3 linked regions of the Lytechinus pictus genome follow. The protein of the gene in region 1 interacts with the protein of each later gene in a pairwise test. Links are inferred from orthologs where the notes say so. Each region holds a gene or a part of one and is shown on either strand. Other genes may lie near its edges.

What was found. The genes of interacting proteins can lie anywhere in the genome.
Region 2: the proteins of cyclin-C-like (region 1) and cyclin-dependent-like kinase 5 interact in binary tests that used the Drosophila melanogaster proteins (3 or more experiments, as listed by UniProt). The link is inferred for Lytechinus pictus from reciprocal best matches to the Drosophila melanogaster genes CycC and Cdk5.
Region 3: the proteins of cyclin-C-like (region 1) and cyclin-dependent kinase 1-like interact in binary tests that used the Drosophila melanogaster proteins (3 or more experiments, as listed by UniProt). The link is inferred for Lytechinus pictus from reciprocal best matches to the Drosophila melanogaster genes CycC and Cdk1.

What each region holds. Positions count from the first base shown.
Region 1 is NC_087260.1:4,723,154-4,730,989, reverse strand, and holds the start of cyclin-C-like, read right to left. Parts: upstream 3,010-7,836; 5' UTR 2,871-3,009; coding exon 2,839-2,870; intron 1-2,838. UniProt on the Drosophila melanogaster protein: Component of the Mediator complex, a coactivator involved in regulated gene transcription of nearly all RNA polymerase II-dependent genes.
Region 2 is NC_087257.1:1,754,284-1,761,817, forward strand, and holds the start of cyclin-dependent-like kinase 5, read left to right. Parts: upstream 1-4,510; 5' UTR 4,511-4,658; coding exon 4,659-4,695; intron 4,696-7,534. UniProt on the Drosophila melanogaster protein: Probably involved in the control of the cell cycle. Interacts with D1 and D3-type G1 cyclins. Possible regulator of neuronal differentiation and/or development.
Region 3 is NC_087262.1:20,372,310-20,380,074, forward strand, and holds the start of cyclin-dependent kinase 1-like, read right to left. Parts: upstream 3,025-7,765; 5' UTR 2,597-3,024; intron 151-2,596; 5' UTR 99-150; coding exon 62-98; intron 1-61. UniProt on the Drosophila melanogaster protein: Plays a key role in the control of the eukaryotic cell cycle. Required for entry into S-phase and mitosis.

The sequences.
Region 1 (7,836 bases):
AAAGGCTAGAAAAATAAACTTGTGCCTTTTTTTAATGTTTTCTTTATTTTTTGGGACCAGTAGATTTTAGGTTCGGACCAGTAAAAATTTGAAAAACTGGGTATCTACTGGTCCGACATGAATAGGTTGGACCAGTAGAAATAATTGGTTAGTGTGGAGCCCTGGCATATGATTTCTTTGGTTCCAGCAACTACCCCTGGATGATAATCCCCCACCCCCCAACCCTCGGACAATTCCCCTCCCCCATCCCCCCACCCACCCTGGACAATTACCCCCCCCCCCGGACAACTACACTGTACCCCTATCGAAAAATCTACACCTAACCTAACCCTATTTCGGGGGTAATTGCCCTGTGGTAGGTTTGTGCACAGGGTAAACATGACTTGATATTGATTTTCTTTGCTTGAACATTAGAAATTAAGTTTTCAATGAATATAATTTGTAATCAAAGAAAGAGAATTAAAATAATAATCTTAGGATTTCTAGAAAAAAATAAAAACAGATTGATTTTAATTGTCTATTATCTCATTATTTTCTTGTTATTATGGTCTCAATAAAATTGTTGATATCATTATAGTCTCATCATTGTTTCATTATTGTCCCAATTAGTATTATAATTATAATAATTATTATTATTATGATAATTATTTTTGTTTCATTAATATTATTTTCTAAATAATTATTACAATTATAATTACTATCATTATAGTAATTATAGTTATAATTATTCAATAATAATAATTATTATTGAAATAATAATTATTATTGTCTCAATAATTATAAGGCCTATAATTATAATTATGATTATTTTTATAATTATAATAATTTTTATAATAATAATAATTATTGATGACTTATCAATATTACTGTCTCAGTAATTATTACAAGTACAATTATTTTCATTATAATTATCATTATAATCATTTTATGATAATTATTATTATTGTAATAACAGTTATTATTGACCCAATAATTATAAGGCCTTTAATTATAATTATGATTATGTTTATTATCATAATAATTTTTATAATAATAATTATTGATGACCTTTCAATATTACTGTCTCAGTAATTATTACAATCATAATTACTTTCATTATAATTGTTATCATTATAATTATGTTATAATTATTATTATTGTAATAATAGTTATTATTGTCTCATTAATTATAAGGCCTATAATTATAATTACTATAATTATAATTATTTCTACAATTGTATTTATTTTAATTATAAGTATTATTATTATGATTATTATTGATATCTCATTAATATTATTGTCTCAGTAATTATTACAATTCAAATTACATCATTATAATTGTTTTCATAACAATTATTTTATTATAATAATGATTATTGTAATACTTATTATTGTCAATAAATACTAGAATTGATGTCTCAATAATTATTACAATTATAATTATTATCATTATAATTATAATTGTTATCATTATAATCATAATGATTATTATAATTGTCGCAATGTTTATTGTCTCATATTATTAATGTATCATCACTGTTAATTGCCTCATTATTGTCTTCTCTTACTTTTTCATAATATCTTCAAATTAATAATTAACACCAGAACAAAGGTCCATAAATCAGATATCAAATTCATAAAACACATCTCATGTATGTAAACCGATTTCTAAATTAAATTCATGCAAGGAGCTTTCTGTGCCATTCAAAAATACGACTTTCATTAACAATACCATATTCTAGACATTCAGACGCATTCCAACAAAAAAATCACTTATCAAACAAAATTCTTGAAGTTTACTTGCAGCTTTGCTCTTAAAACTTATTTCACACGAATTCTACAAAATTATTTTCAAAATAACAATTTGATTTTCATAATTAACAGAGCTCAAATCGTAATTAAAAAAAATATACAACGGCTGAAACATACTGTGTCTGAATACCAAGACTAATCTCAGGCCCAACGCAGTGGGGATGACGTCACTCACACGCTCAAAACAACCCTGCTCGATCGGCCGAGTCAGATTCACAAACACCCCATGACACTCAAAACTGAAGCTCATATTCGCAAACTCTCTACGGACCAAATTTGATTAGAATTTCACAAAATGTTCTCAAATATACAATTTTATTACTGACCGAGTTTACAAGGGATCCGATGATTACAAGAAGGTGATTTCAAGCAAAGAAAAATAAATACCTGAATATTAGGTCCTTCCCTCGCATGAAGGTAAGGGAAACTCTGTCTTGTATATTTCCGATGTTTACTGAAGATGTACGAAGCAACCGCGGGAATTTTTGACCAATCAAAATCAGCGGAATAAAGGAAGAAACTGACTCTGTCTTTTCGAGCAATGCCGAATGCAACTCCAGCGCTCGGCCAAAGTGCCGAGCGGAGCGAACTGTGTGTGTTAGATAGGCGCTCGCCATTCACTGCAATGCAAAAATCTACGTCTAGCGCTGTGTCCGCGCGATCGCCCACCCGACTGAAGTGCCTATTTGGACTCTTGGAGATTCCTAGGGTCCAAGGTAAACAGATATATGTTCCATATACGCTGTCATTCTGGTTTAGGAGGTTTGAACCATGTCAGTACAGAATACATCAATTTTGTGGAGGAAAAAGAGAATGAATGAATCATGAATCATGATTTTTACTCCCCATACGCCTCCAGGCTAGTAGGGAGTACCGGGTACGGGTGCCGAGGCCAGCCCAGGGGAAGTGCATTATTGACTGAGCCAGGCACAGGCACAGCCAGTAGTACCGGTACTGTGCGGCAAAATACCGACGCATATTTGCTCACAAAATAATACACGAAACGCTCCTTAGTCAACAGATTAATCTTTAAAAGAATACACTTACCAATGAGAACTTTGCCAAAAGTTTCCTGCCATTTTTATAGCGAAAAACCTCCAATTAATCAATAAATAACGACTTTTCTCGCTCCTGCTCTTTGTGTCAATTGTAATTGGTGTAAATTGTTAATGGTGTTTCTGACGAAGCAAAAAAAAAGGAAATACACAGAGCGCAGTCACCCCATCCTGAATCCCCGCCCCCGTAATTCAGTGAAAGTTTTTGCTGTCATAACAGGGGCGGCGGAACATACTTTCGTTAGGGGGAGGGGGTCGGGCAAAGCCAGAAAAGGCACTTATATGTCAAAATGGGCATTTGGTGCAAAAAGATATTTTCACCATGAGATTATCCCAACCCCAGATCCCAGCTAGCAAACTTACATTGGGCCAACGTTGTAATATAGGGTATTTATACTGCGCACATATCCACCTTTTTAGGTGCTCAAGGCGCTCCTATATTACCCGGCTAAGCTAGGCGTTCATAGCGCTCACAGCTTCTTGAGGAATAACTTCCTACCGGTACCCATTTACCTCACCTGGGTTGAGTGCAGCACATTGTGGATCAGTTTCTTGCTGAAGGAAATTACGCCATGGTTGTGCTATATTAAGGTCGGGCAAATGTCGAGCGATGCATTGGCCCAATTTATTGACGTTGGACTGATATTAAAATATCCGACCTGCCAACGGTCAATTTTAAAACATTGAACCAGCATAAAATTGTAATGTTGGACCTTTGTAAAATTCTAATATTGGCCTAACATCATTTATTGACGTTGGACTAATGTTAAAGTATTTGCCGAGCCAACATCCGATTGAGGACATTGAACCAACATCAGATAACAATGTTAGGTCTATCTATAAAATGCCTCCAAAATTGTCCCAACATCATTTATTGACGTTGTGCTAATGTTAAAATGGCTGATCCGCCAACGGTCAATTTGAAACATTGAACCAACATCAAATTGTTAGAGCCGTGTAAAAAAAAGTGTCCATCGAGCCAACATCAATTAAAACGTTAATTGGGCCAATATCAGACAATAATGTTGTGCTTGTGTATGATTACAACATTGACCCAACATCATATATTGACGTTAGGCTAATCAATGTTAAAATGTCCACCCCGCCAACGGTCAATTTTAAAACAATAAAACAATTATGAACATCAAATTTAATGTTGGATCTGCGTAAAATTCCAACATTGGCCTAACATCAGTTATTGACGCTGGGCCAACGTAATCCCTACGTATGGCAATCATAAAAACATTAATTAGTTTCAAAGTGAGGGCCACTTTTACACTCTTATTCCCTAATTGCTTATCCTATTCTACAATCCTATATCCTAATCCTAACATATCCTACACCTATCCTGCCAGTCATTCCTATTTATATATGACGACTTTGCGATACTTAGAAAATTGCAGTTAATAACAGGTTTCTTTATTTAACCTTGAACATTTCGTCTATGAATTATCTATTTTATGAAAATGATATGGCGACAAAGCTACATACTTTTGTGAAACTTATGAGGGAGGAATAATTGCGTATTACGTTATTTGCGGTTTAATTGTTACAAAATTTTGGTGACTAGATAATGAATATTCATGAATGCCTAATGAAAGACAAAGAATATGTCAACATTTGCTCAACTTCGGTCCAGTTTTGGCATTACGTTGGTGCAACGTCATATTACCAACGAGACCAAATTTACATTGTACTTTATTCCTTTTTAAACAACCAATTAAGCAACAAAAAGGATTCAATTCAATTAAAAAAATTATCTTTATTGATAATCAAACATGTTAACAATCAAAGATGAAAAGACAGCAATTAAGAGCTGGAAAATCATGTTTACAAGTTGGGTTTGGCACAATTAAAGATTCCAACGTTGTTACCATCATCTCAATGTCCAACATCTTTCCAACCTTACATATCCCAGTCTTGGGTGCTTCAACGTATCTCCAGCGAAACAAGCTTCCAACATTGTGTCATCATCATCTGTTCATTAACATTCCAACCTATGGCTTCACGATTTTGTTTTTAATAATCACAACTGATATTACTTTCCTTTCATTTCTCTCTCTTTCGGTTGTTTCTGTTACATATAATTCCTTCACCCCCCTCCCGCCGGGCCGCCCCCTCACTACCTTTTCAATGGGTCTGTGGGCTTTTTCGGATCAGCTAAAGCCTCTTTCTTCCCTCTTCATTTTCCCTTTATACTCCTCTTTCTCTTCCCTTTATTTCCTTCTCTCTTTCTTTTTCCCCTTTTGCTGAGGGAGGGGGGGGGGGGGGGTAAGCAATTAATCTCCCGGATCCGCGCCTGGTTGTCCAACAACTCTCCATAACCAGTTATTTTTTCCTTATGTCATCGTTGTCTGCCAGATTATTGAATGTGTTGATGGCAACACCACAACCAGTGGTCGGCTTATTACACATGAGCGACTCTTAGAATTTAAACACAAACTATTGAATGTTGATTGGACTCCTGTTAATAGCAATACTGATGCAAACAAATCGTATGATTTATTTATACATTTATTTTCCAAGTTGTATAATGATTGTTTTCCTGTTGTTCAGAGGCACAACTATAAGTTGAAGGGTAAAAGACCATGGGTCACACCTGGTATACTTAAATCCAGTGGCGTACCGTGGGTCATGGCATTGGGGGGGGGGGCACCAGCAAAAATTTTGAGTCACTAAGTGAGCGCGCGAAGCGCGCCCAGTTGCCAGGTATACTGACCTGAGACATTTTAAGGACAGTGCCATTAAATGGATATGTCTCTCATTTGTCAAATAATGCGAGCGCGAAGCGCGAGCTTAAAATTTTTGATATTCAGACCTAAAAAGGGACATTATCATCAATCTTTTGTAATCAAATCATGATACGTACCTGTCTCACTAAATAATGCGAACGCGAAGCGCGAGCTGAAATTTTTGTAATTATTGACCCCAAACAGGAAGATTTTAAGGACTATATATTTTAGGAATCCATTAAGAGTATACACATCTCACCATAGTCATCTGATGCGAGTGCCAATAAGCGCTTGCTGATTTTGTTAAAATTACATCTAAACATGCGCATAAAGCACTTGGAATCTTGATTAACATACCCATCTCACTAATCACATCTTGCGAGCGCGGAGCGCGAGCTGATAATTTAGGAAATTCAAACCTGAAGAGGGGCATTTTAAGGCTTGTTTGTAAGAATTCACGAAGACCATACGTAGTTCACTAACCAAATAATGATGCGAGCGCGTAGCACGAGCTGAAAATTTTTTAAGGACCGATTCTAGGAATTCATGGAGAGCAGACATATTTCACCAATCCACTACTGCGAACGTAAGCACGGACAGGAAATATCTTATATTAAGATTACAGGATTTCGGTAAACAGACAATGCGAGCACCAGGAACAATGAAGACATAGACCCTGAGCAAATTATGTTTCATAAATTTATGAAAAAAATGTTTCTTATGTAATATAACAAAACATAATTATGATATTATGACATAATGATATTATGATATAATATAACATTATAATGAACAATAATGTATTCTTTCCCACAACGTTTTCTTCCTTTCTCCCTCTTTTTCTCCTTTTCCCCGTTTTTTTTTTTTTTTTTTGTCAGCCGATTGGGGGGCACGTGCCCCCATGCCCCCCCCGTAGTTACGCCACTGCTTAAATCAATTAACGTCAAACAGAAATTATATCATAAATATTTGAAGAAATCTGTTAGTAAGAAAAAATATGTCACATACAAAAATATACTTACTACTATTATCAGATCGTCTAAAAAAAGATATTTTCATAACAAGTTTTATAAGATCAAAGGTGACATGAAAAAAAAACTTGGAATAATATCAATGGGTTATTGGGGAAGAGGCGACAAAATATACCACTTAAAATGTATAATGATAATGTTCATATGTCCTCACCTCGTGTGATCGCAGATTCCTTTAACCATTACTTTGTCAATATTGCTGAAAGAATTTCACATAATATACCTACCTCTTCTCACATATTTCATGACTTCTTGCCTGTTGATAAGAGCTACTTTTCATTATTCCTAAAACCTACATCTATTCATGAAATTCTAAAAATTTCTCTTCTATGAAATCATCAAAAGCTAGTGGGTTTGATGACTTGACCCCCAGAGTTCTTAAGGACTCAATTCATTTATTTGTTGAACAACTTTGTGCAATATTTAATAAATCCTTATCACAAGGGATTGTTCCTGACAAATTAAAAATATTCAAAATAATACCTGTTTGGATAATTATAGACCCATATCACTATTACCATTTTTTTCGAAAATGTTAGAAAAGATTATTCACAAAAGATTATATTCCCACCTTCAAGCAAATGATATCCTCATACCAGAGAAATTTGGATTTCGTGAAAATTTTTCAACTTCCATGGGTGCATTAAACATTGCAAATTTTATATCACAAAAAAATGATGATGGCAATTATTGTCTTGGTTTATTCATGGATCTGTCAAAAGCTTTTGACACCATTGACCATGACATACTCTTACGTAAACTGAATGCTTATGGTGTCAGAGGGTTAGCGTTAGATTGGTTCAAACATTATTTGCATAACAGATATCAGTTTGTCATGGTCAATGGTGTCCAATCACAGCGTAAACTTATTAAATATGGAATTCCGCAAGGCTCTATTCTCGGGCCCCTCCTGTTCCTCGTATACATAAATGATATTACAAATTCTTCAAAATTATTCCATTACTCATTATTTGCTGATGACACTTGTATTATAAATTCTCACAAGAATATTTATGATTTAATATCTATTACCAATAAAGAAGTTAACAAATTGTATGATTGGTTCTGTTGTAATAAACTTTCTTTGAATTTTGATAAAACTAAATTTACTATTTTCAGAACAAGGAAGAGGAGGGTTCCAAGTGACCTCGCAAATCTTACTATTGGTCATGATATATCATGTGTTGAAAATATTCAATTTTTAGGTATTACAGTTAATGAATACCT
Region 2 (7,534 bases), on another chromosome or scaffold:
ACCACCCGGTTCTAAGGATGAGGTGATTGACGAATTACAAGGTAGCATCAGTACTATCTTTCGAAAGCACAGGAAACTGCCTGCTTTAGTCCTAGCGGGAGATTTTAATCTACCGGATATTGACTGGTGTAAAGTTGTAACATCGAATCCTAGAACTCATGCAATTCATTCTCACTTCCTCAACTTTGTGAATGGATGTAGTTTAACCCAGATGGGTAGGGAGCCTACAAGACCGGCCTCTGGAAATATCTTAGATCTTATACTCACAACTACACCTGATGCTGTGAATAATACCCAAACAAAACCTGGGATCAGTGACCATGACATCACCCTGTTTGACATCAATATGCGACCCAAACTCCAAAGAAAACCAGTGCGGAGAATATACCAGTATGACAAAGCTGACAAACAAGACATTAAGGAGCGCTGCTCTCAGATGTCATATGACTACTTTGAAAGATCTCCTGAAGACATCTCTGTAGAAGATAATTGGATATTCTTCAAGACTTCTCTTTTGTCAATCATGTCTCACATTCCCCACAGGAACTCGAGGCCCAAGACAAGCCACCCGTACATCACCTCGAAGATAATACGGGAAATGAATAAGAGGGACAGGCTATACAAGAAGGCAAGACGTTCAAGGTCACATTCAGATTGGGAAACATACAAAACAAAGAGAAATTCTGTTCAAAGAGCAAAAGAATCAGCTCACAGTGAATACCTTCAAAATGTTGTTGGAGGAAGTCTTATGACTGACGCAAAGAAATTCTGGAGGTACGTCAAAGCTCAGCGGAGAGAGTCGGTAGGAATCCCAACTTTAAAAGTGGGAAATGTTTCCTATGTATCCAATGAGGAGAAAGCTAATGCTCTAAATGCTCAGTTCTCTTCAGTTTTTACACATGATAATACTTCATCGGTACTACCAGACAAGGGTCCCTCACCGTACACACCAATTGAAGATCTCTTCATCAGCTTACGAGGAGTGAATAAACAACTGAAAGAACTTAACACCAACAAAGCCAGTGGTCCAGATGAAATACCTGCTAGAATGTTAAGAGACTATGCAGATGAGATTAGCCCAGTCCTTACTCATCTCTTCCAACAATCCTATGATGAGGGAATTCTTCCAAGTGATTGGCTAAGAGCTCAAGTGGCCAGCATCTACAAGTCTGGCGACAAGAGTAACCCAGCCAATTATAGACCGGTGTCACTCACATGCATCTGCTGCAAGATCCTAGAGCACATTGTATTGAGCCACATGTCAAAATACTTGGAAAAGAATAACATCATCAACCCAAACCAACATGGATTTAGGAAGGGACTGTCATGCGAAACGCAACTTGTTGAGGCCATCAATGACTGGGCATACAACATCGACCAGCAATGTCAGACAGACGCCTTCTTTCTTGACTTTAGTAAGGCCTTTGATAAGGTATCACACAGGAAGCTGCTCTACAAATTGGAGTATTATGGCATTACTGGTCAAATGCATGGATGGATCCAAGCTTTTCTATCAGGCAGATCTCAGTCAGTTCATGTTGATGGAACATCCTCACCACTAGCCAGTGTACTCTCAGGCGTGCCGCAAGGCTCAGTACTCGGGCCTGTGTTATTCCTGCTGTACATCAATGACATCTGTGAATGCATCTCATCACCAATCAGACTCTTTGCTGATGACTGTGTGCTGTATCGCAAGGTCAAGACAAGAGCTGACCACGCAATTCTCCAGCGAGATCTTTCAACATTATCAGATTGGGCAAAACTGTGGGATATGTCCTTCAATGTCAAGAAGTGTGCCCACATGTGTATCTCATTGAAACGACAACCCTTGGCTTGCAACTTTACCATCAGTGACCAACCTGTTCCAACGGCAACCTCCTGTAAATACCTCGGTGTGACCATCACAGACAACCTGAGTTGGAACTCCCATGCACAGAAGATATCCTCCAAAGCTGCTCGTACTCTTGGAATCATACGTCGAGCATTGGGTAAATGTGACCTGAAAGTGAGAGACATTGCGTACAAGCAACTTGTCAGACCTCAACTTGAGTATGCTTCATGTGCATGGAATCCTCACATACAGAAAGATGTAAACATTGTTGAGAACATTCAGCGTCAGGGTGCTCGGTTTGTCCTTCATGACTACAGCAGAGAATCCAGTGTAACATCGATGTTGTCAACTCTTCACTGGGATACTCTCCAACACAGACGCCTTCTTAGCCAATGTGAGATGTTCTACAAAATTCATCACAATTATGTTTACATCAACATGCCACATCAGATTAAGTTAAGCAGCAGTTCTCGTCCACAACGTTCACAACACACTGGACATCAGCTCAAGTACACCCAGCCTTTTTGTAGAGTGAACTGCTACATGTACAGTATGTTCCCAAGAACCATCCGTATTTGGAATACTCTCCCAAACGCTGCTGTAACTTCGACCTCTATAGCTGGCTTCCGGGGAGCAACATTGCCTATCATTCAGCAAATGTTGCCTCCCCCTCCCCTTAAGATGCTGTAAGAGGGACACACACGCACCACCCGCACACTGCACCTAGCACACTGTATATAGTGCACCAAGAATACCACCACAGGATCACCACATCACCTGAAGCACTGGCAGCACCTGACACAGCACAACCCTCTCCAGGACAGCGTGTACGCTTTTGGGAGAGTACTTCTTCAAGCTGTGTGTGTGGAATTTCGGACCTTTCGGACACTCAAATGCACGCGACTAACCATTATGTTATGTAAATTTATAAGAATATAGCTAAGAAGTGACTATTAGTGACTTTCAAAGAAACCAAAAATCATCTTCGAGAGGCCGATCGGTGAAAATATGGCTGAAAAAAAAATTCCGCCCCCGCCCCCTATTGGCGAAGGCTGGATCCGCCCCTGCCCTCTAAAAAAAGCAAAAGCAAAACGCGTACATAACAAAACACACACACAAAAACAATTTTTTAGCACCCGATTTCCTTTAATTCTGACCCCAATCTACACCCCCCCCCCCCTCCCCTATTGGCAAATGCTGGATCCGCCCCTGAACATAGGACTTTTGGAGGGCGGGATCGGATGGTATTCTCGGTCGTGAAGCGTCGTCGTGAAGGTTGTATAGATAGATTTTACCATTCGTAATAGGTCCATGATTTTACCAGTCAAATTATCAGTGTCGTAATGTGCCAAATTTGAACTTTTGAGAGGGCAGGTTGTGGAAAAGGCCTGATATGGCAGTCGTTGTGAATACTGTTTTGGTTTTTAGGAAATTGGCAAAGCCGATCTCCTAATATTTATATAAAAGTTAGGTCCTACCTTAATTCTTGCTCGCCAGAAGATAGAATGGGATCCAGCCGCTCAGAATCTCAGATAAATTGCACAAATCCGTGAATAGAAATATATACACTTCACAATTTCAAATAGATTAGAAAAAAGGGATAGATGTCACAAAATGTCTCGCGAAGTAATGAGCTCATTAAATATGCAGAGAATATAGACTTCGAATGAGTGGAAGTGACGGTAAGGAATAAGATTGGAAAATGCAGAGAAATAATTAAGTATAAGTTGATCCTCCACAAGATTTGATTCAATCCTCACTAGCAGCTGGATGAGATGGTCAGCATGAGTGGACAGGACGAAGGCAGAGAGTAGAGTGATGATGTGATGGAGAAAACAAGTTGTTTTTACCAACATCAGAAAAGGTGAGACAAAGAAATAAGCGCCAAAAAGGGGCAAAACACAGTTGAGAAGAACAAAGAGGAGAGAAGCAGACTGTGAGAAAAGCAAACATGCAAGCATCTTGTAGTGATGTTGTATACCTGCAAGTTCATTGCAATAAACAAGGAACAATGAAAGGATGTTTGCTCCAAGTCTAGGAACAAAAGAAAGGTTGTTTCTCAATATAAGAATGTGTTTGCCAAGTAGATTTGGACAGAAAATGAGTTGGCTTGCTCTGTGAATGTACAGTATTGTAGTACATACACATGGCGTGAACAAGTGAGAATATATGAAATTGGAAATAAAAGAAAGAATTTATATACATATACAGAATGTTGAAATATAAATGAAAATATATACAAGGAAAGAATATATAGATGTAGATATATAAAAAGATATAGTCAAGTCACTACAGGTTTATGTTTTGCTTTAGTTTTTATTTTAGCTATTGTTTTGCTTTTGTTTTGTTTCTGTTATTGTTTTTGTTTATTGCATGTTGACATATTCTCCTTATCCATCCAAGTCATATGACTAGAGTCTAGAAAGGTATAATCTCCCTGTTTTTATTCGACCATTGCTGCTCTAAATATTGATGAACTTTCATGTTTTTGGTAATTTTGTAAAAAAGAAGAATAATTTTTTTCATATTATGTCGTATTAAAAAAAATCGAAACATAATTATAGGTGAAACTTTTTATCTGAAATATATGGTGCGTGCGAGATTCGATGCTCATAACTTTTCTGCAAATAATCGGCCTACAAAAAAAAATTAACGGATTTCTTGCGCGCGCGCGCGCTCAATTATCATTATCAAAATTGTAATTCAGACCCATAGAGATGTATACTAGTATACATCTCTATGTTCAGACCCCAATCACAGCCAAAACCGCGGTCTTGTATAAACAACCGTGGATGAATGCTGTTTTCTGGTGCCAAGAGATCTGGAAATGCAAAAATATGAGAGGCTTGAAAAAATTGGAGAAGGTAAGCGTTTAAGTGACTGAAATTTAGTGAAAAATACGTTTTAATTTGCTAGGGATAGGCTATTTCTTATGTAGTCCCGTATGCGAAGTTTGGCGTATTGTGTGTGAGACCTACTCATCTAGTCTTGAGCCTTGAGAGTTGAGGACTCCATGATGATGTCTTTTTTTAAATACTTTGACATATACTTCTTCATCATTGGAGTCTTGAACCGCCCTCATATAGGCCTATGTATAAGAGACACATGTAAACAAAGATGGATTCCCCAAGGAAATCCATCTTTTAATATAAAAATCACATAAATTGTTGTGATTTTAATTTTTATATATCAAGACATTAGTAACTAACATGTCTAACGTTACACCGGCTGCACTCACACTGTGACTACCTTATTGCGAGGTTAGTATGGTGAGACTACCACATATCAACCACCTCTTTTGAAACCGACCACCTTGCACGCGTTAAAATTATTGCGTATTACAAACGATATGCGCGGGAGAGTAGGCGCAGTGTCCATAGAAACGGTAAGAATCGATTTTACGAGAAAAAAAGAAGCAACAAAAAGTAAAAATTTAGGAGAATTAATCAAAATTGTATTGACCAGACCCAAACCCCGCTGAAAAACCAAGAAATCCGATAGGAAACAGCTTTAGAAGTTAGAACAAATATCCGTCGTCAATCGTCGAATCATGTGCCGGAGCTCGCAGTGGAAGTAGTGAGACGATAATTTAGCATGTTGACATCATAGAACTGATTTTGAAGAGTAAAAATATTTCGCCACCGCGACAAGAATCGGCCGTAAACTTAGCGTGACGCGGTTGGTCGGTTTCAAAAGATGGGTGCAAATGAGCAAATGTAAAAGGGCTATTCCACGGTTACTCACGTTACATTTGGAGACACCTTGACTCATACTTGGAGCTGTAGCTCCATTATTATTGATAGGAACTAAACATCTCCTTATCACAGCAAAGTACACAGTCTGACTATCCTTTGTATAAAAAAAAAACTTGGGAAATTTTATTATGCTCCTGGCAAATCTTTGAAATGTGTCGGTTACTCACGTTACATGATTTGGACATGCATATAATGAAAAGTCGACTTAAGTGAAAAGTGTCCTCATACAAGGCTTTTATGAAAGTTGATTATATCAATTTCAAAGAAGTATATTAGGGAGACAAACTTTGTATATAATTCAAAAAATAAAGAACACAAGGTTTTTACTAGGGGTGCAGATAAAGTGGTTACTCACGTTACGGTTACTCACGTTACATTTTGTCCATGTATGGTTAACAACAAAAATGTCACTAAAAATTCAATAATGTGTGTAAAATTCATTGCTAGGAACACCAAAAAGAGTTTTTATACCAAAAATTGGAACAATTGGAGCTTTATTTAGGGAGTAAGAGGGAAAAGTATGATTTTGCTTACTTATTTTGCATAAATTAGCATAATCACATTGTGAATACTTCTACTAGTATTCAATTTTTTGTGTGATTGTACATGTATGACCACTGATATTTTTATGACAAAAAAGAGTCGCATCAAAGAGGTGTACCCTCATTTTGCGTTTAATTAATCAAAAATAACTTCACAACTCACCATGAGACTTAAAACTTGACATCCCACAGAAAATATTACCTAACTGCATAATTTTTACTGGTTACTCACATTACATGATGGTTACTCACGTTACACAGTTACTCACGTTACAGTTTTTCTTCATCATTTTTATAAAAAATTGTATTTTTTAATGATTTTGATAGTCATCACCGTGTTAAAGATTGTTTGAAGGAAGAGAATTTAAAATCCCACCAGTTAACTGCGAAGAATTTTTCGCTCAGAAAACAAAGTCATTTTTTTTGGTTACTCACGTTACATCACCTGAGCAGGTTTCAATATTTTTTTTTGAATGAGTACTACAAATTTACTTGAAAAGTTGTTGTGTATTTTAAGTAATTTGACTCTTCTAAACTTCAAAAATATATAAAGTGGTATGATGTTTCAATAACAAAATGGTAATAAGGCATATTTCATTTTTCACTATTTTTCTTGTATTTTGGTACAGAATGGAAGATACAACTTTTGACCATTTTTTTCCAAAGTATACATATGAAAATAAACTTTTTATTTTTTGTTCCTGAAACTATCATGTATGAAGGACTTAAAGTATTTAAAAATTCAAGAAAATATTGAATTTGAATTTTTAAGCTCATGTCCACCAACCTATGGAATTGCCCAAAATCGTCGTATTCGTTGTTCGTCGATATATACGCGGATTGAATCGGAGTAGCCGAGCGAAACACGGGAATCTGATCTGCTCAATTTTCTGCACAAATGAGACGAAAACTGGGTAAAATTGATGAATATTTTTGCAGATACGATGCTTAGAAGATTAGGTGGTCGATAGTGGCTGGATCTGGATGTGTACGATGGAGGGCCCTCCTCACTCACACTAATACGAGGTTAGTATGCTATACTAACCTCGTACAAGGGACCGTGTTTGACCTAGCCAGGCGGCTTCTAGAGAGTAAAAATCATTTACTAACGTAAGGTTACTCTCATACGAAGCCAGGCCTTCTATCTCATAGACCCACACAAAGGAAGCCAAAACCTGAAACTTTCACCCCCGAGATTTCTAATTTCCTTCTAAAAGATCTAGCTCTAAATCATGTACATGGGATAAAACTTAATTTCCGACATTTCTACGCTCTCGATGTTATTTTTAAAACAAGAATTCATCCAAAAAATGAAAAAATATTGTGAAAAGACGGAAGAGACTTGCCCGATGTTTACGCCGCCATCTTGTTTCTTATTGTACTTCCCCAACGTTACGCGACGCTCG
Region 3 (7,765 bases), on another chromosome or scaffold:
TTTCTTCAGGGTGAACTTCCCCTTCAAGTTGCATGATCTTAAGGATAATATACTAACTCACCTTCACCCAACTTTTCTATCTTGATAAAATCTTCCATTATTTCAGAATGAAATCACACACAGTCCAACAGGATAAAAATGGGTCTCTATCTGCAAGGGGGGGGGGGGTCATGAGAGAAATTAAGAAAAATGAATAATTAGTGAATTCAATACTGGTAATTAAAATCAATTTTAATTTCAATTATAAGAAAATTTTCATTGAAATGTATATGGTTGGAACTACCCCTTATCGACCACCTAATCTTCTAAGCATTGTATCTGCGAAAATATTCATCAATTTTACCTAGTTTTCGTCTCATTTGTGCAGAAAATTGAGCAGATCAGATTCCCATGTTTCGCTCGGCGACTCCGATTCAATCCGCGTATATATCGACGAACAACGAATACGACGATTTTACATTTGCACCCGTCTTTTGAAACCGACCACCCGCGATACACTAAGTTTACAGCCGATTCTTGTCGCGGTGGCGAAATAGTTTTACTCTTCCAAATCAGTTCTATGATGTCAACATGCTAAATGATTGTCTCACTACTTCCACTGCGAGCTCCGGCACATGTTTCAACGATTGACAACGGATATTTGTTCTAAAGCCGTTTCCTATAGGATTTCTTGGTTTTTCAGCGTGGTTTGGGTCTGGTCAATACAATTTTGATTAATTCTACTAAATTTTTACTTTTTGTTGCTTCTTTTTTTTTCTCGTAAAATTGATTCTTACCGTTTCTATGGACACTGCGCCTACTCTCCCGCGCGTATCGTTTGTAATACGCAATAATTTTAACGCGCGCAAGGTGGTCGGTTTCAAAAGAGGTGGTCGATATGTGGTAGTCTCACCATACTGAGAAGTCGTGTCAACATTTTTATATGTCTGCAGACACTTGACCATTAATTGTACCATGTTATGAATGCCACGCTTGCTTCTTGCACTCATTCAATGAACAAGGTTATGATATACCTAACCTTGTTCTCAGTTACATTTCCATGTGTGGCAAAAAAAGGGTGGCAATGTTTGGCTTATTTTCTCTTTTTCTTTGGGACAAATGCTTGATTTTTTTACACTGTCTGTTTCCATTACAGCTATTCATCATATAACTTGGCTCTTAGTAAATTTGATTCTTTAAATTATTTTTTCTTAATTGAAAATAGAGATTGAAAAATGAAAATTTTCTTACCAATACCATATTACTTTCAACCAATAGAGGGCGTACACAAAAATATGCCTAAAATTTAAGTTTTTGAGCACTCTGGTAAATACAAAAATTATTGCCTGGGTACTAATGAAAAATAAATTGCAACTGTATGGAAATTAGTAATTTTGGTCACAAAAGTGACATTTTAATGATTTTTTAAAGTGTGTGCTGTGTACAGCATTGGCATACCATAGTCCTACCCACTCACACGTATTGCGAGGTTAGTATTAGTATACTAACCTGAGTCCTACCTGTAGATTCCCCACAGGCAGGATGGTTGCAGTGAACAAGTTCTTGGAGTAAATTTCAGTCCAGTGATGCATTAGAATTGAAATCAATTTGAGGCACTAAACATTCGCAGGCCTGCCAAGTCCAAGAATTGAAGAGGCGATTTGAACGAACTTAAAACTACATGTACCATAACTTTCTTGTTACTGGGGCTATTGATATAATTGAAATGAATGAGGTATTAAATGAAAGGTCTTAATTAATGAGCTCTAAATGATGCTATGAAGCAAACACCTCATTTCTCAAATTTATTTTTCTTGCAACTACATGTACCTACATCATGGGTCACCATTTTTTATCCATCTAAATAAAATTTACATTTGGCTCGAGCCTCGGTTTTTCTAAGAAAATCATATAAAGTTGGGTCCTATTTCTCTTAAAAGTTCATGAGATTTTTTGGGACACTTACTTCCCCAACGTTACGCGATCGAGACGGGGGTAGAAGGAGAAAACTTTTCGTTTTTTGAGGTTCCAGTCTGTGCCCAGATGTCAGGAAACTGCCACTCGTTAGACCTTCATCCAGGTAATCGTGGTAAGTGCATAACTTCTGTTTTCACAATTTATTTGGACTATGAGTATGATGAGTGGAGAAATATTTAGACCATAATTCACCCTAGTCACGTGAGTATGGTCAAATACACGGTAAGCCCCTGGGCTCCCTGGGTTAACCGGTACCCAGTTGTTGTGTGTCCGGACAGGTGGTGTGTCCGGACGCTCAATTTAGAACGTCATTTGGAAAAATTTACAAGTGAAGTTTCATCAATTTTTATTACAAAATGTTAGGAAATATTATAGAGAACAAAATAGAAGATGATTACAAGTACTGAATTCATATTTTTAGTGCAATCCAAAGACAAAAAAGAAGGCTTCAAAAATATAAAGTGTCCTGACACCCGACCCCCAACCCCCCATCCTATTTCCTAAACACATCATCACATTCACAGTCACACTGTCTGCACAACTGCCACGCACTTTTGCAGTAAAAATAAATAAATTTGACGTATTTCGTACTCAAACTTGCTTGCATTTCTAATATATTAGAAGAGAATAGTATACTTACAGTTAAACTCCTCTATTGTTACGTGTAGAGTCAGAAAACTTGAAATTCTAACGTTACTTTGATCGGCGAGTTGAGTCAAAGAGTGAGTCGTAACGTGTAGCTGCATCAAATATTGCGTGTAAACTGAATTGCATGGATAGCATATAGCGGATATATCGATGTTGATAATGTTGTAAAAGCCGCGGCTGTTCAAAATAACCAATGGGCATCGCTCATTCGCATGACGTATCCCCAACTGCCTTGTGATTTATCCAATGAAAGGTAGTGAACTGTGAGAAGTAGGCGGAGTCTAATCGGCAAACCATGCATGCACAATTTCAACCGCATGATGGCAATATTTCAAAAGTTAGAAGAGATGTCAGTCCCTTTTGTCTTGGCCCGGTAAAATTAAATCAGTACTGCCACAGCCTACAGGTACAGGTGCGGTTATATACGGGGGAACTTAATTAACTCAAACCCACCCCCTCCCCCCAAAAAAATGACCACAAACAATTTAATGCTGATGAGAAAGCAAAATGCGTGATATTTCTATTACAGTTTTAGTTCATGTCATATATTTAATTTTTAACAAAATACAAACCATGCAGGAAAATACAGTTTGGGTTTCGATCATGACTTTGTATTTCTTATTACAAAACTTTATAATACAGTAATTTTAGATTACAAAATAGATCGATAATCTTTCAGACAATACAATATCTCGTTCAACCATCATCTTGAAAGCCACTCTAAAAAGAACTGCATTTCATAATCCAAATAAGCATACTCGCTCACATAACCAAATTGCTAATTATTATTCCTATTACTCAACTGCTGTCTATCCCACTGGGCATTTTACCCGATATTACCCGGGTTGTAACAGGTAATAACGTAGTTATTACCACGGTAACACCAGTGGGTAGTAACGGGGAAATAGTAGACCAATCTTTCCCCGTTATTACCCGGACCCGATATTACTCCATTTACCCAATATTACCCAGTATGATGTAACCGATATTTCCAGTTATTTTCATGATATTACTGCCCAATATTACTCCATTTACCCAATATTTCTCAGTATGATGTAACTACTATTTCCAGCATTTTAATGATATCACCACCTCATATTACTCTGTTTACCCAATATTACCCAATTAATGTCGGCTCATTAAAAAAACAATTAGTGTCATTAGGGTCATTGAAGCACATTTTTACAACTCCATACTCTAAGCCATATCATCTTATCCTATCCTAAAATCCTACATCCTAATCCTAATCCTATCCTACACCTATCCACCAAACCCTGTCATTTACTTCTATATATTGAGCGAGTTTACAACACTTGACAAATTATGGTTAACAATTATTCAACCCTAAAACATTTTTCTAAAATTAATGTCATGATTATGACTAATATGATATATAAACTACACATTTTTCTGAAAATGTTCTGGGTGGAATAATTGCATAAACATAAACACATTAATTATTACAGCTATATTAGCTAAAATTTTGGCCATTTATTGTAGTAATGAATATTCATGAGTAACTAATATTCCCAGCATTTTCCTGATATTACCATCTGATATTACTCCATTTACCCAATATTAATGGGTTCCGCATGGGTTGGAGGTCTCGTTTCCATCTTAGTCCTATCTGGGCACCATGTGGGTTCAAGTATATGTTTTCATCTGGGTTCCATGTGGGCCCTTATGGGACCCAGATATCCCAGATAAGAACCGTATGTGATCCAGATACTTTGCTGTCTGGGAATGGAAGCGTTTCAACATTACCCATTACCCCTTATCAACCTGTTTGTAACTGGGTAAAATGTTGGTTTCATCAGGGTGATAACAGTAATTTTTTGGACTTTGAAAATTTCGCTGGGATTGCTGTAAGATTGCTCTTATTACTAAAGTTTGCAATGTTATAACCAATCAAAGTCATTCAACATTACCCTTATTACCCCTCATCACCCTGTTGTAACTAGGTAAATGTAGGTTTCATCAGGGTGATAACAGTAACAGGTATCAACAGGAATTATAATTTCGGTAATAAAATGGTAATAACGGTAATATTTGGTGTTACTCAAATTTCCGGGTGATATTACCGGTAATAACCGGTAAAATTGGTAATCGGTAACAAATTGCCCAGTGGGATAGACCAGTTCGTAGTTACTTCTAGACAATTATGGTCAAATGACCTTTCATTTCTTTCATTATGATAGGCAGATTTCAAAGCAAGATATTACGTAAGCTTGCCTTACATAGCAGGATGAAGAAATTGAATAGACCAGGTGACTAGAATAGCACACCAATGAACACTTTATGAAGGTATTTGTTGCATTCTTACTTTGAATGCATATCATACTTCATAGCATGTTGCACGATGTACTTGGCAAACTGTGAAATACCAGTCGTTTGTGGACGCATTGTTGTTTTTTGTGGATGTCAATGAAAAGCACAATTCAAAAGAATATATGAATAATCAAGACATCAAAGTTGGTGCTTATCTCATTAGATTCAGTACAAATGACCTTCCTCCGATCATGCGTAGAATCTTTTGATCATGCGCAGAAAGGAACTACGAACTGGCTTATTGCATCTGCAACCTGCATTGCACCGAAGGCTTGATCATCATTCTTCATAATTTATGCCACAAATTTCTTTCTTCATGAGGCCGCCATCAATGCTTGCTTTCCTATGCAACCTTGCATTGAATAAACTTTAATTGCATTGAATTAGGCCTATAATATTCCTCATGTTCAACATTTCCATAAAGGACCCTATCCTAAAAAGTCCACTTACGTTATTTTTAGAATATTGCAATTACGTTTCCAAGAAAACATTAAAACAGAAATGAATACTACATGTTTTACGTGATATAAAAATGTTTTCTTGACAGAACTGCATTACTTATGTTGAGCACGGGGGGGGGCAATCGCCCCTCCGATGATACAGAATTGTCCTCAAGAGAACTAAACAATTGATGCGAGCGCGAAGCGCGAGTGGAAAAAAAAGGGAGATTTAGACCTTAAAAAGGGACACTCTATTCATGCTTTGCAGTGGCGTACCTGGGATTTTTCACAGGGGGGGCAAAACCGTCCGCCAAAAAATTTGACAAGCAAAAAAAAGGGTCTTCAATCACAAATGAAGGATTTTGTACAAGAAAAAAATTGGACAAAAAAAAAAAAAAAAAAAAAAGGTCTTCAAGCTCGTCAGGGGGGCAATAAAGGTCTTCACGCTTGTCAGGGGGGGGGGCAGGGATACGTCCTTTGCATGGGTTGTAGCTCGTCAGGGGGGCAGACTGCCCCCTCTGCCCCCCCCCCCCCCCCCGTAGGTACGCTAGTGATGCTTTGTAAATCATGAAAACTGGGCAATTGGGTATTTTCCTACATACATAATGCGAGCGCGAAGCTCATGCCATTTTTTATATCCTGATCTGAAACTGGATAATTTAAGCACGTTTTAAATAAAGAACAACTTGCATGTCTCAATAAACACGCTTGTGCGTATTATAGATTTAGACCAAGAATCTGGGCATTCTAAATACATCTTTATTATGAAAATCAATAATGCGATCGTGAAGCGCAAGTTAAGCGCTATTTCAAGCACTGTGTAGGAAACTTGTGATATGGATATGGATTGCACTCAATAAATGTTGCGAGCGCGAGCTGATATTTTCATTATCATTTTGACATAGGACCGAACATTCGTCATCATATGAAAATGATGACCATCTTCCTGTTTCTCTTCTTAAGTGCGAGATGAAACTTGTCGATATTCTTTTCTGAAAAAGGGACACTTTAATTATATAGGAATTCTTTAATGTTATTATATTTTTCATTTATCTAATGTGAGCGCGAAATTTGTTGTTATATGTCAAGGCCTGAAAACTGGACATTTTTAGCTCTTTTGTAATTATGAATAGGATGCGTCATCTCATAGGCGGATCCGGGGGGGGCGCCCCCCCCCCTATTGGCGGAGCAAAAACAGGAGAAAAAGGGGAAAGAAAGAAAACAAATAAGAAAAAAGGAGGGAAAAGAGATGAGAAAAAAGAAGAGGAGGAAGACGAGTGAATAAAATAAAATGAGGGGAAGACTTGGAAAATAAAAAGAATCTTTCATGTCACTATATAAAATTTTCGCTCGCGCTTCGCACTCGCATTGCCTGTTAGGTGAGTTTAAATATCAAGTTTGGAAGTTAATATACAAAACATATTACACCACGGAAATCGAACTTTCGTTATTTTGTGTGATTTACAAATTAATTTTTTTTTAAGTGCTCTGTAAAAATGTCACTTTTATGGTCTGAATATTAACATTTTCTGCTCGCGCTGCGCGCTCGCAAATTTTGATTTATCAGGTACCTATTCTTGTCGTGTATTCCATTAAGTTTTCAAAATATCCCTTTTCAGGTCTGATTGTCAAAATTTATCAGCTAGCGCTGCACACTCGCATTTTGATTGGCGAGTTATGTATGTCTCAATATTGATTATACAACAAACTACTTAAAATCCCCTTTTCATGACAGTTTATCAAACATTTTGGCTCGCAATTTGCGCTCGTATTTAATGGTTAAAAATATATTGACGGATGCATCCTTTTTATAATTACAACAATGCTCGAATGTCCAGTCTTCAGGCCACATTATCATCAGATTTCGCGCTCTCAGATCATCAGGCATTAGTGAATAAGATATTAATTTAATAATCAAATTGTCCCTTTTGTTTCATCTCGCACTTAGCAAGAGGAATAGGAAGATAGTCATCATTTTTATATGATGACATGTCCTAAGGATGTCCCGGTCCTATGTCAAAACTCAATGTAATAATGATGAAAAATATCAGCTCTTTATTAAGTACGATTCATATCCACCTCACAATTTTCCTACAAAGTGCTTGAAATATAGAGCTGAAATTGACTTTTTTCAGATCGGAATATCAAAGATAAGATAAAATAATATCAAAGATAAAATATTATTTAGAATGCCTAGATTCTAGGTCTAAATATGAAACACGTGCGCGGATGTTTATTCAGAAACTCAACTTGTTCTCTATTTAAATCATCCAGTTTCAGATCACGATATCAAAAATTTTCTGCTCGCGCTTTGTGCTCGCATTATTAATGTAGGAAGATCCCCTATTACTCAGTCTTTTCATGACTGAATAGAGTGTCCCGATTTTAGGTCT